2 linked regions of the Mytilus edulis genome follow. The protein of the gene in region 1 interacts with the protein of each later gene in a pairwise test. Links are inferred from orthologs where the notes say so. Each region holds a gene or a part of one and is shown on either strand. Other genes may lie near its edges. The genes, in order: aldehyde dehydrogenase family 16 member A1-like and deoxyribose-phosphate aldolase-like.

The links.
Region 2: the proteins of aldehyde dehydrogenase family 16 member A1-like (region 1) and deoxyribose-phosphate aldolase-like interact in binary tests that used the Homo sapiens proteins (3 or more experiments, as listed by UniProt). The link is inferred for Mytilus edulis from reciprocal best matches to the Homo sapiens genes ALDH16A1 and DERA.

The regions. Positions count from the first base shown.
Region 1 is NC_092353.1:78,683,244-78,690,381, reverse strand, and holds the start of aldehyde dehydrogenase family 16 member A1-like, read right to left. Parts: upstream 3,267-7,138; 5' UTR 3,186-3,266; coding exon 3,087-3,185; intron 1-3,086.
Region 2 is NC_092353.1:35,895,051-35,902,977, reverse strand, and holds the start of deoxyribose-phosphate aldolase-like, read left to right. Parts: upstream 1-4,841; 5' UTR 4,842-4,917; coding exon 4,918-4,948; intron 4,949-7,927. UniProt on the Homo sapiens protein: Catalyzes a reversible aldol reaction between acetaldehyde and D-glyceraldehyde 3-phosphate to generate 2-deoxy-D-ribose 5-phosphate. Participates in stress granule (SG) assembly.

The sequences.
Region 1 (7,138 bases):
CTAACAAATACAACAGGTATTGTTCTCTGTGTAGTTTATTCACTCAGACCTTTAAATTTCTTCTAGGAGAAATATATCACTCATTGATTAATCTACCTGAGTAAAAAATTGAACTGTCAATGAAGAAAAAATACTTATACCAATACTAAGTAAGGACTCACAAAACTGCATGTGGTGTTGTATTTATTCGATACCTGGAGTAACTCGTTTTTAATGTGTTCAATATTACATTTGTAATACTGATTCAAAAATTAAAAGTTGATTTCTGATCAAATATTCAATATTTTTGTGTGTTTGATAAATAAAAAATTGAATATTATTATTTTTAAATTAAGGTCTTCATAAACATAAGTCTATAAATGAACAACAACAAAAACATGTAAATTCATTGGAAAATACTAAAAAATGTGTCTGAAATAAACTTTTTAGTATTAAACCAGATTTTATATTGAACAGATTGAAAATATATTAATGATAATATTGAATAAATACAATATTGCATACAGTTTATGTGTGTTATTAGAAGTATTTCAATAAAAAAGAAGATAATTTTTTGGTCAGGTAAATTAATCAATGAGTGATATATTTCTCCTAGAAGAAATTTAAAGGTCCCAGTGAATAAACTACACAGAGAACAATACCTGTTGTATTTGTTAGATGGGACAATAGGACTTACAAAAGTTTAAATGGACAGGTAACTTGCAGGTGAATCTATGGAAAACTAAGATAGGGTTCGCAATAAATAATTAAAATTTAACTGTCGAGAGTGTAAAAATGTTGTAATACACAAGTTATAGTGTTGGAATCTGTTTCTCTGATGATTTTTATCCTTCTTTTTCAAAGATTTTCAGAAACTTGTGTTTTTTATATGCGACGTCATCAGACATGGTTGCCTTTTTTCATGACGTCATTATAGGAAAATGTAAAAGAAAATAAAACATTTTGACGTCATAATCAAATTTTGACTAATCAATTTGCCGAGAACAGATATTTTACTAGTGAGGAGAAATATTTTTCTCACATCTGTCAGGAAATGTGAAAATAGCCCAAAAATTAGAGAAGTTATTTTCCCCCAGCTAACGTGTTGCAGGAGACAAGGAAATACCAGGCTTCTTTCCATCCATCTGTCAAGTTTTTTAAGCGATCTCACATGTACAATTCTTGCCATATTTTTATGAAACTTATATCATATGTTTATATCAGCAATGTTTTGGACGAGTTCAAAAATCAGTCCTGATCAATTATTTTTAAAAAATTTAAAAGAGTTCTGCGCATTGGCAACATTAATCGTAAGGAAAATTGCTTCATTAGTGCACTCATTTTTTGTTTATGAAAGTTCTATCATACTTTAATACTAGCAATGTCTTGGATGAGTTCCAAATTCAGTGTGGATCAAAGACTTTTAAAAAGAATTATGCCCCTTGGAACTGTGGAAATATTGATTATACAGAAAATTGCATTATTAGAGCTCTCATAAGTTCAATTCTTGTTAGAAATCATGAAAATTAAATATTTGACATGATAGACACTAATTTCTCATCTGCTTATCAAATATTTTCAAAGAAATTTGCCCCTGGGAAATATAAATTATAAAGGAAGTCTCATTGCATTTGCTCTAAAGACTTCATTTCCAGTGCTTTTTTTTTTTAAAGATAAAAACATGTACAACACCAGCAACATTAGAACTGTATTCTTTTATTATTATAGTTGTCAACACAATCCAAAAGCTGTTGAGGTGACTGATGATTGTTTTTTTAAGCGACTTTGACTTCCCATGATTTGCAATATACTTTTTGTGTATGTTGAAAAGACCCTTCAGGTAATATTCTTATATAATCTTAAATTCCATTTGTACTTGATTCTCAATTTGATTATCAATGATAGATAGTATTTTAGGGGTAAACTTTTGAAATATATGCTAAAACAGGGGGAGTAACTCAAATAATAATTTTGAACATGTTTGAAATACACAGATTATCTTTGACCTAGGGCTGAGGTACATTGTAATAGACATTAATTTGACACCCAATCCAAGTTGTTGTCAACTAAATTTACTAATAAAAATAACCTTGATTCAAAATAATAATATTAATTAATTTGATAAAGCCGTTTGATAATATTAACTTAACAAAGATTGACATCAAGTGTTCAACAAAATTTGACATTGATAAAATTTGTTAAAGAGCCAAATTAAATTTAAAGCAGGGGGAACAGAAGAGAATTAAAAAATCCAGAGATTTTGACTCCTGTCAGAAGCATTGCATGAATTTTATTGTTTAAAAGTCTGATAATCTGACATTGTCTGATATGCAGTCTTTCACCCTTAATTTGGTAAATTGAGATATTCTATTCTTTTGCTAAATTTTAACCTTTTTTTATTTTTAGCAAATTTTTTGCTTAAGGTGGTACCTAACACTACAGGGAGATAACTCTAAAATCAGCAGCACGTTTTAATTACGTTGCGTTGTGAAGGCAATATTAAGCTTCTCAATGATCAAAATTGATGTTCGTCAAACTGCTATATAACCAGTGTATTTTTTCTGATAAAACTGTTGGTTCAAATTTTTAACGAGCCAAATTAATTTTAGTCAAAGTGTTGGGTACCACCTTAAATGTCTTATTTACCTGAAAATATATGTTCCTGTCAGTGGCGGATCCAGAAATTTTCATAAGTGGGGGCCCACTGACTGACCTAAGAGGAGGCCCGCTCCATTCATGCTTCAATGATTCCCTATATAAGCAACCAATTCCCCCCCCCCCCCCCCCCCCCCCCAATTCGCCTCTGCCTGGTCTTATTTTGACCAAGGATTTGTATAATAATCCTTGTTTTGACATATTGTTTGAGAAAGCAGATTTTTTTTTAATGTTGTTTAAAAGTCAATATATAATTATATTTCACCCTGTCGACATTGTTTTTGTTGGGAGTTTGTGTTGCTCAATCTATAGTTTACATTTATATTGTGTACAAAGTCATGGACATGGAAGAACATGATTTATGTGTTGGCTTGTAATGAGGTCAGTGGGGTAATTATTATGTGACAGCTCTTGTGCATTTGTAATATATAATAGAATGTATTGAAATCAACCTTAGCAACATTGTCAGCTTCAGGAGCAGGTCCATAGTCCATGCTCTTAAAGATTTCAGCAACAGAATTTTTTGTGTTGGTTTTCGTGTCAGCAGCCATAGTTGTCTTCTCGGGCTTTGTCGTTTGGTTACAGTTAACACCGAAAAGTCACGAGCGAACGCATGCCTTCTACGTCATAACATGGCAGCCACCACTGAAAAAAATTTCGTATAATTTTGGTGAGTTTATCGCCGGTTTTCTGCTTGATTTAGACGTTTATGTGAGACAGTATTATTGCATTCTAAAATGAATTTTGTCTTTTAATCATAATAGAACACGTCACATTATAAAAAGCCGACATCTTTTAGCTTTAACCGTAGTAACCACTTTCTCTTTGATCTGAGAAGTAATAAATTTGGAACTTTGATCCCTGAAGCAATAAAGAAATACATATAATTAATTTACAGAACACAATTAAACATTTTCTTAACAATAATCATGAAAAAAATCTTGAAGCTTTCAAAATGATTATTTTAACCCAATTTAGTGAAAGAAAGATTGTGGGTATTCATTCATGCATGGACATGTTAAAACTTTGTTTATTGCATGTTTAAAAATGCTTACAATTGGCCCTTATGTTTGTTTACAGTCATTCATCCATATAAGAAATGCATTGCAAATGTGAAATGTAACACCACATTTTGATTTGACCTTTAAGTTGTGTGCATCATGTAAAATACATGTACAGTAACTCATTATATTCCTCATCCACATAAAATACCATTCAAGGATTTTCACAATATATTTTACACAACATAAATTTAAATTGTTTTAAAATTTTGATTTGTAGTGCCCATATAAATGTATAATAGAGGTAAATTTTATAACAAGAAGTTGGTACACATTTACTTGCATTGAACATGTAGAACCTCCCATGCTTAGGGGCCTTTACATGTTAAGAAGATTACATCATCATATAATGGTGTTAAATATTGATATGATAATAAAAAAAAATATGCAGTGAGTATTTTCGTTTAGTACATGTAGTATTAAAGTAAGTAAATGTTTAAATTAAGGATTTATTTTTAAGTAAAAAATAAAAAAAACTATCATTAATGATAAATCAAGAAAGGAAAGGAAAACTCAAATCAAATCAAATCAAATATATTGTATCATGACTAAGTTCAAAAATTACAGAAATAGATCAATAGTTTTATTTTGAGTTTTCATACAGAAGTTTCCGCTTTTCTTCTATGATGACCGTTAGTTTTTATTGCAAACTGAAAATGCATGCACACTTAATTAAAACAGGTAAAAAGTAACCTCCGCCAGGTACTTGTACATTTGTAGGCAATCTTTTATTGTTAGAGATACAGAGAAAGTTATTGCAGGAAAAATGCTCAGAAGAGCATGAACTGTAATGTTAGGAAATTACTTCACTAAATTTTTTATCAAGTAACCTGCATTTTCAGGTAATTTTAAACAGGTAAAAGGTGTAATTTATTACATTTGTGTAGAATTCCGAATAAAACTACTTTTAGTCTTCAATTATTTTGTTGTTTTAATTTATGTGCAATATAATAAAGAATTCCCAGTTGCTCAATTCTGTAGCGCTATACACGTAACACAACTTATTATGTAATAGTGGCACAAATAAGTGGCTCTGTCCTCAAAATTTTCAGACTGTCAACCTCTGTTTTCCCTCCATTTTCTACGTCTCGTAATGATCGTTCAAATTATATTTCACACACGAATTAAATGCAATAAACACATTGAGATAACAAGAAACCTTTTAACTTATCTTCATTGTCAGTTTCGCAATAGAAATGCTGAAATATTTACATATTTACAGCTTCGTTTCAGATTTTTGCCATTTGCATTTGTCAAAATATTTGTTTTTATTTTCTGTCAGTTTTCCCTCTACTGAATGATTTTACTATAAATATTGCTGGGATTTCAAGTGCAAATAAGACCTTGTATTTCCTAGATTCATACGAGGAAAAATTAGAGAGGACCTGAACCAAAACCGAATGGTTTAAGAGTCGTGATGATGCAAGGTTAAATATCATTTTCATCATGTTCACGGTAGAAACTATATATATGTAACATTTGTTTACATTTATTATTATACATGATATAGCACTGTGAATGGGGAGAAAAAGCCAATTGCCTGAAGTCAGCAATCGTAACCCTTACCATGCAGGTTTTTTTTATATTACGGCCATACTCAAAATATCGTTATTTGGCTCCAATGGCTCTCCATATTTTTTTTTAGGTAAACTTGAAAACATTTATTTCAAAGTGAATGCATGTTACATCATTCTTACACTATTGTCATATTTCTTAGTTTTAATGCTAATTCTGATAAGCATGATGAGCACAAACTTGTATGAAAAATTGAAATCAGATAAAACTGTGGTTTTTGGAGGTGTAGGCTTCTTTTTAATGTATGACACGCGAGGTGCAGGGGCCTAAAACTTCCACAAGTAGTGCAAACCAGCAGGCATATAACTATCATGACTATTGCTCATGTTTATTATTAAAATACACATAGGAAATGGCTACTTTCGGTTGTACACTTGTGTAGGTCCTAATTAGTGTTAAATTAAAAAATCCGAAAAAAAATCTAAATTTCATATATTGGGTCCAAATGACTTCTTTTGAAATTAGACTGACCATGGCCAGATCAATTTCACTCTGACCAAAGAACTGTGGTAAATTTGTTCACTGGGGTCCACTACTGATTAATATATAGATCTATCAGCATTCCTTGGTCTTCCATGTCAGGAAATAGGATGAAAAATTGTCAAAATTGATGCTTTCTTTCTCCGTAATTGGCTATTGACCAACTCTAAGACAATTTCTACCTACTGAAGAATTTTTAAAATATTTAAAAAAAAAATGTGGTATATTTTTATAGATCGAAAAAAAATTGCTGACATTATATAGGACATATTTAATTTTGCAGCTTCTTTCATCATCATGATTAAATTTACTCATAAAAAAAGCAAAAAATATAGTTAACATTTGATATAAATCATAATAATAGTAGATTGTCAATACATATTTCTATGTGAAAAGTTGCTATAATTTCAATTCATTCAAAAGAGTACACTGCCTTGATATATATAGTATCACAACATCAACAAAATTGATCTTTTTGGAAATTTTAAAATTGATGAAATGCCCCTAAAATCATTCCTCATGGTCTGACAAGTTTTTTACACAGCATTTTAAAGCTGTCCTTCCTCCTCAAATCAAAATTTTTGTGATCATGATGCCAAAGTGCAGTTTAATTCTATCTTATTTTAAAACTGAAAGAGCATGAATTTATATTTATACTAGAAAGAAGGAAAACTTATTGAAAGAAGGGGTTGATAGTCATGATAGTTGGAAAATACATCCAGAAAATATGAGATACATGAATAAATAAATGTGTATGTGTATGCAAATCAACACAACATTTTCATTCTCAATTTTAGTTCCAACTTCACAAACAATCTTAATTTCATAAGCTCAATAGATTTTAATCAATCAAAATGCAATACCCCTCATTCTGACCCTCGTGTAATTAATGAAGAGCATCTGACAGTAATTAGAGGCATGTGAGAGTCTAGTCTGATCTGGTGAATGACATATCTCCAGTGTATCTCTATATCTGTTCAGACTTGTCAGAGATGGTATGGGTGGTGTTGTTGGTGTTCTGCTAGCAAATTGTGGTGAAGTAAATATAAGATTTCTCACATTTTTTTCCACACATCTCCCCATTGTAAATTTTGTTTCTGTGTTTGACTCGTTCAGTAAAAAATATTGAAAGTGAAAATAAATTGATGTATTTATTACCCTACACCCACCCGGGAGTGATTTTACTGAACCATTTTGTATTTAATTATAAATTGTACCTCTCAACTTATTCCCATTTACTGGTATATATATTTATGATAAAGCATTTTTATAAAGATACATACATGTATATCTTGTTCATTGTTGTAACTTAAATGTAGTAATCATGTTAATCAGTGGTTATCTTATAAGTATTGTTTTTATGTTAAGGAGGAGGGGGTTAACTGATG
Region 2 (7,927 bases), about 43 Mb from region 1:
GAACATGACATGGTAATTGTTTGATTAGACTCGCATTTGACTAGCGTAGTGACTAGTCTACGGTACCATGACTGATTATTCTATTTTTTTGTGACATTTGGATCAACATTTTACAGCAACAAATCATTTTGTTAAGCTTATTTAAAAAAAGAATGCGTTTCGGCATATGATTATTGTCGTAATTTCTGCTTCTTGCTTTGTTTTTATATAGTTATAAAGCCAGCAAATACGAATATCTCATAAAACTAGTAAATGCACGGGGTAATAAATAATTACGGACGTCAAATCTGTTGTCTGTTCTCTCTCATCATTGGTAGCGTGAATAACTAGTCAATAGTAAAAATGATACTTTTATTAAACAGCCGATATATTTCCATAAAAGTACAATATTCCAACAATAATATATAATAAACATACGGGGCGAAGATACTTAAAATAAAATGCAAGGCATACAGCTATCTGCGCTGCTTCTTACCTCTAAATTATAACCCTTACTTGTAATATAAAATGCGAGGCATACAGCTAATGCGCTGCTTCTTACCTCTAGGAACCCCCGGGATGAGCCTTGCTGCAAGCCAAATCTAAACACAGCAAAAACTGACGAACGTGACGTTGCACTGGTATTTATTTCAAATTACCGGAAGTAAATATTCTAAGCAGGAAGAAAAACATAACGTAACATAACGTAAAACGCTTACATAAAATATAGGAGTCCTCGACTCAAAATGCTTATAATCAAACACTCTTATAAATAAACATATCTAGACATATAAATTCTTCCAGTTAAAAACTCGTTAATGTACACTTTTGGGTTCACGCTTAAAATATTGACCCAACGGTAACGTTCTGAACAATACATGACAAAGTTGCGCCATATACGACGTTATCGATACAGCTAATAACATAAAGTAAAACGTACGTTAATTACTCATTCAATATACTAAATACTAGAAATAACTTCTGACAACTTATATAAACCCTCTTAATACAATAATAACAATATTCCTTTACTTGGAAATAACCAATATATACATTTACAACACTGCCCCTCCCCCAGAATACATTTCGTCCTCGAAATATGGTCTTGTCAACTCTGACAACTGATACATTTAAAAATATTCTGTTCACAATATTCATACGTACATAATCCTCTTATCATACAAATAAAACAAAATTTTCTTCCAAGTATGAATATCTTCTCTTACACCTATATAACAGTAAAGTGTCACGAAAAAACAAAGTTCTATATTTTTTTTTATCCCGTTACAGCACTAATATACTTCATTTAAAATTCAATCCAAGATTCTCCATTCTATCAGACACTGGAATTGTAAAAATCATGAAGCTCAACTTCTTTTAAACACCCGGCTAACCATAAGCCGACAGATGTCCTATTAAGTTCTATACCACAAGGGTATCCCGCGTATAAATATATACACTATCTTCGATACTGATGCACCATACAAACAAAAGTATAAAAATTAGTACAAGGTACAACAAATAAAAAAAAATGGTCATCAGTATTCCCCGAGAAATATCTAAAATGGTGTAGACTATAGCTCAGCATTCCCATGGTGTAACCTAAATGTATATTGCAATCTAGACTACTGCCAATATACACCCACCGAAAGCAGCTTCCCACCAAAATAGTATTAAACAATCTTTATTGCATAAAAACAACAACGCCAATTCAATAGGACCATCAAATTCCAGATTCTGATAAAAAATCACCTGTTTCCAAAAAATCTCAAAACAATTTCAATACCACGATATACTTTCAAAAATCTATAATACTGTATACTCTTCTCAAAAAACAATAAATCTCTTTTTACATTTTATCAATAACAAAAAAAAATCACACAAGTTTCATAACTACATTATAAAAAATCCCAATCTACACAAAAATACTCTGATATTTGGCCAGTGTAGGCCTATCTGATATATAGTCCTAACTATTTCTGATAATCCTGACTTGTAAATCCAAACTGCGGGTTTCCTCCGAAAGTATTCATATTTTCTGGTTTCCCTCTTTTCCTCTTGAGAAAGGACAATCTCTGCTGTAATGTCCCTCTTGGTGGCACGAGTAACATGTATTTACTCTGTTACTGTTGTTTGCTTTAAATTGGTCTTTCTTCCTAACATTATGTCTATTCAACGGACCAATATTTTCTCTTTCTTGCTTCTCAGTTTTAAATAGATCTTTTATCTCATTTAAATCCTGCTTTATGTCTTCAACATCCATTTTGAACTCCTTTTTCAAATTGTCTATGCCCATTTTAAATTCTGCATAAGTGACATATTGGGTTGGATTCTCCGTCCGATATACCTCGAAGTCTTCTGTTTTCTCTTGTTCTATACAGTTTGCATCGGTATTTACTTGTCTGACATTAACGTTTTTATTTACATTTTTTCGACAACACTCGTGCCATGTGACTATATTTATTGCATCCTGCAATGTTGCTGGCTTCTGTATGAGGACCTCATAAGCTAGTGACTGGTCTGGCAGACCCTTAATAAAGTGTTCTGTTTTAAAACGGTCCAGTAAACTCAAGTCATTTACATCAGGGTATGCCTTACCTACTAGTCTCTCAACACGAAATGCATATTCTTGTATGCTTTCTTTGTGGTCCTGTTTGATAAATTGCAAATTGGTCCTATAGGTCTCTGGTAATATATGGTCCCCAAATCTCTGTGACATAGCCTTATGAATACATTTGATATCTTTATGGAATGGCATAGGAAGCTCATTTACATATACTAGGGCTTCATCTCTCAGACAATTTAGAACCATTGGACCATCTAAACCTATTACTCAGTAAACTAAACTGTGTCCAGAAGGCCTTGAAATCCCCTTTACCATCAAAGAATGGACTTCTAGGTTTTGGTTCTTCCCTTTGTAGTTGCTGAATACGACTACTTTCTCTTACATAATTTGTATTAACTGGACGTGGTGTATACATGTTATCAGTACTTGGACCAGCTACTAACTGTTGGGTCACTGATACCTGGTTATTATGTTCAGTTGTGGTCATGCTATTTTGACTGAAATTCTGCATATTGGTGTTATTTTCAGCCACATGGTTACCCCTTGCTAATTGAGCTATATTTTCCTGATTATGCTTAACTTGCGTGTTCATCTCTGATACTTGCGTGCTCATCTCAAAAACTTTCGTCTTGAGCTCAGAAAATCTATCATTTTGATTTTTTAATTGTCTCTGAATGTCCGTTAGAATAGCAATAATATTGTTATCATTCAAATTCGTCTTACTTTCCTCAATCGTTCTTGTATTCTTCACAGACGAGTTTATCGGGCTTACTATGGGGCTGTAGGTAGATAAATTAACATCATCTTCTATACCCAAATCTATCAAATTACAGGGCTGATCAGTTCCGCTCTGTGAAATAATCATATTCTCCATACTTTCCCCCCTTCCAAAATTTGGAGCTGGGATTTTTCTATTCCTAAGATCCATGTTTAAAACAAACAGTAATATGCCAATAGAAGCTAACTGCACCTCTATTCCCCTAATAAATAATTATTAGGAAGCTAAATGCACCTCCTTTATATATTTTTTCTCTAGGAAGCTAAATGCACCTCCTTAATATATTTTTTTTCTCTAGGAAGCTAATTGCACTTCCTTTATATTTTTTTTCTTTAAAGGAAGCTAAATTCACCTCCTTAAAAAATATTTTAAAAATTTAGGAGCTAAATGCACTCCTGTATTTTCCAAAATAATCCATTCAACACAGAATTATGTATAGAGCTAAATGCACTCCATACACAATATATGTCACTTAGTGTGTTCCATACAAATTAATATTTCTAAAAATAGACGTGCCAAATTCCTTGAAACGTGAAAACTAAACCGCTGCCACCATTGTCGTAATTTCTGCTTCTTGCTATGTTTTTATATAGTTATAAAGCCAGCAAATACGAATATCTCATAAAACTAGTAAATGCACGGGGTAATAAATAAATACGGACGTCAAATCTGTTGTCTGTTCTCTCTCATCATTGGTAGCGTGAATAACTAGTCAATAGTAAAAATGATACTTTTATTAAACAGCCGATATATTTCCATAAAAGTACAATATTCCAACAATAATATATAATAAACATACGGGGCGAAGATACTTAAAATAAAATGCAAGGCATACAGCTATCTGCGCTGCTTCTTACCTCTAAATTATAACCCTTACTTGTAATATAAAATGCGAGGCATACAGCTAATGCGCTGCTTCTTACCTCTAGGAACCCCCGGGATGAGCCTTGCTGCAAGCCAAATCTAAACACAGCAAAAACTGACGAACGTGACGTTGCACTGGTATTTATTTCAAATTACCGGAAGTAAATATTCTAAGCAGGAAGAAAAACATAACGTAACATAACGTAAAACGCTTACATAAAATATAGGAGTCCTCGACTCAAAATGCTTATAATCAAACACTCTTATAAATAAACATATCTAGACATATAAATTCTTCCAGTTAAAAACTCGTTAATGTACACTTTTGGGGTCACGCTTAAAATATTGACCCAACGGTAACGTTCTGAACAATACATGACAAAGTTGCGCCATATACGACGTTATCGATACAGCTAATAACATAAAGTAAAACGTACGTTAATTACTCATTCAATATACTAAATACTAGAAATAACTTCTGACAACTTATATAAACCCTCTTAATACAATAATAACAATATTCCTTTACTTGGAAATAACCAATATATACATTTACAACAATTATTTTCAGTTTTCATCATAAACTTTAAAATAAACGTATCATTTCAAGGTTGTCCAAAATTGATGCAAATGAACACTGCAAAGTCTAAAATTTTATTTCATCTTTTGAGTGTTTTAGAGTAACGAGGATGTGGTCTAAAGCGTCTCAAACACACTGAAGAGAGAAAATATGTCGGACAGAAATCCAGGGATTGAGTTTGGTGAGACGATTGTGTGCAACATTTACAGAATACTGATTAAGTGTCATTTACCCCACTGATATGACCATAATCCCGTAACCTATAATTTGTAGATATGGCACAAAATGTGCACCCGAATATAGGTATCTTGTTTTGTTACCCCCATTGAAGCAATGGTTACATTGGTTACATTGGTTACACACATGGACCTTAAGTAAATGATATGCAATAGTGACTTTATCTTTTGCAAACTGTACATGCATGGCTGTCCATGGGAAATCCAGTAAAAATTTGTAACAAGCCTGGGAAAGTCGGGTTACAATGGTTACATGCATGGGAAATCAGATTACAATGGTTACATACATGAAGAATAGGGTAACAATGTAACATGCATGGAGAAATCGGTTACAATGGTTACATGCATTGGGAAGTCATGTAACAATGGTTAAATACATTGGAAAGATAGGTTACAATGGTTACATGCAAGGAAAATCAGGTTAAAATGGTTACATACATGGGAAAGTTGGGTTACAATGGTTACATACATGGGAAAGTCAGGTTACAATGGTAACATGCATGGAGAATCAGGTTACAATGGTTACATGCATGGAGAATCAGGTTACAATGGTTACACGCATGGGAAAGTCAGGTTACAATGGTTACATGCATGGAGAATCAGGTTACAATGGTTACATACATGGGAAAGTCAGGTTACAATGGTTACACACATGGAGAATCAGGTTACAATGGTTACATACATGGGAAATCAGGTTACAATGGTTATATACATGGGAAAGTCAGGTTACAATGGTTACACGCATGGAGAATCAGGTTACAATGGTTACATGCATGGGAAAGTCAGGTTACAATGGTTACATGCATGGAGAATCAGGTTACAATGGTTACATGCATGGAGAATCAGGTTACAATGGTTACATGCATGGGAAATCAGGTTACAATGGTTACATGCATGGAGAATCAGGTTATAATGGTTACATACATGGGAAATCAGGTTACAATGGTTACACGCATGGAGAATCAGGTAACAATGGTTACATGCATGGGAGAGTCAGGTTACAATGGTTACATGCATGAAAAAATCAGGTTACAATGGTTACACGCATGGAGAATCAGGTTACAATGGTTACATGCATGGGAAAGTCAGGTTACAATGGTTACATACATGGGAAAGTCAGGTTACAATGGTTACATGCATGGAGAATCAGGTTACAATGGTTACATACATGGGAAAGTCAGGTTACAATGGTTACACGCATGGAGAATCAGGTTACAATGGTTACACGCATGGGAAAGTCAGGTTACAATGGTTACATGCATGGAGAATCAGGTTACAATGGTTACACGCATGGGAAAGTCAGGTTACAATGGTTACATGCATGGAGAATCAGGTTACAATGGTTACATGCATGGGAAAGTCAGGTTACAATGGTTACATGCATGGGAAAGTCAGATTACAATGGTTACATGCATGGAGAATCAGGTTACAATGGTTACATGCAAAGGAAAGTCAGGTTACAATGGTTACATGCATGGGAAAGTCAGGTTACAATGGTTACATGCATGGAGAATCAGGTTACAATGGTTACACGCATGGGAAAGTCAGGTAACAATGGTTACATGCATGGAGAATCAGGTTACAATGGTTACATACATGGGAAAGTCAGGTTACAATGGTTACATACATGAAAAAATCAGGTTGCAATGGTTACATACATGGAGAATCAGGTTACAATGGTTACATGCATGGAGAATCAGGTTACAATGGTTACATGCATGGGAAAGTCAGGTTACAGTGGTTACATGCATGTAGAATCAGGTTACAATGGTTACATACATGGGAAAGTCAGGTTACAATGGTTACATGCATAAAGAATCAGGTTACAATGGTTACATGCATGGGAAATCAGGTTACAATGGTTACATGCATGGAGAATCAGGTTACAATGGTTACACGCATGGAGAATGAGGTTACAATGGTTACACGCATGGAGAATCAGGTTACAATGGTTACATGCATGGGAAAGTCAGGTTACAATGGTTACATGAATGGAGAATCAGGTTACAATGGTTACATGCATGGAGAATCAGGTTACAATGGTTACACGCATGGGAAAGTCAGGTTACAATGGTTACATACATGGGAAATCAGGTTACAATGGTTACATACATGGGAAAGTCAGGTTACAATGGTTACATGCATGGAGAATCAGGTTACAATGGTTACATACATGGGAAAGTCAGGTTACAATGGTTACACGCATGGAGAATCAGGTTACAATGGTTACATGCATGGGAAAGTCAGGTTACAATGGTTACATGCATGGAGAATCAGGTTACAATGGTTACACGCATGGGAAAGTCAGGTTACAATGGTTACATGCATGGAGAATCAGGTTACAATGGTTACATGCATGGGAAAGTCAGGTTACAATGGTTACATGCATGGGAAAGTCAGATTACAATGGTTACATGCATGGAGAATCAGGTTACAATGGTTACATGCATGGGAAAGTCAGGTTACAATGGTTACATGCATGGGAAAGTCAGGTTACAATGGTTACATGCATGGAGAATCAGGTTACAATGGTTAAACGCATTGGAAAGTTAGGTTACAATGGTTACATGCATGGAGAATCAGGTTACAATGGTTACATACATGGGAAAGTCAGGTTACAATGGTTACATACATGGAAAAATCAGGTTGCAATGGTTACATACATGGAGAATCAGGTTACAATGGTTACATGCATGGAGAATCAGGTTACAATGGTTACATGCATGGGAAAGTCAGGTTACAATGGTTACATGCATGTAGAATCAGGTTACAATGGTTACATACATGGGAAAGTCAGGTTACAATGGTTACATGCATGGAGAATCAGGTTACAATGGTTACATGCATGGGAAATCAGGTTACAATGGTTACATGCATGGAGAATCAGGTTACAATGGTTACATACATGGGAAATCAGGTTACAA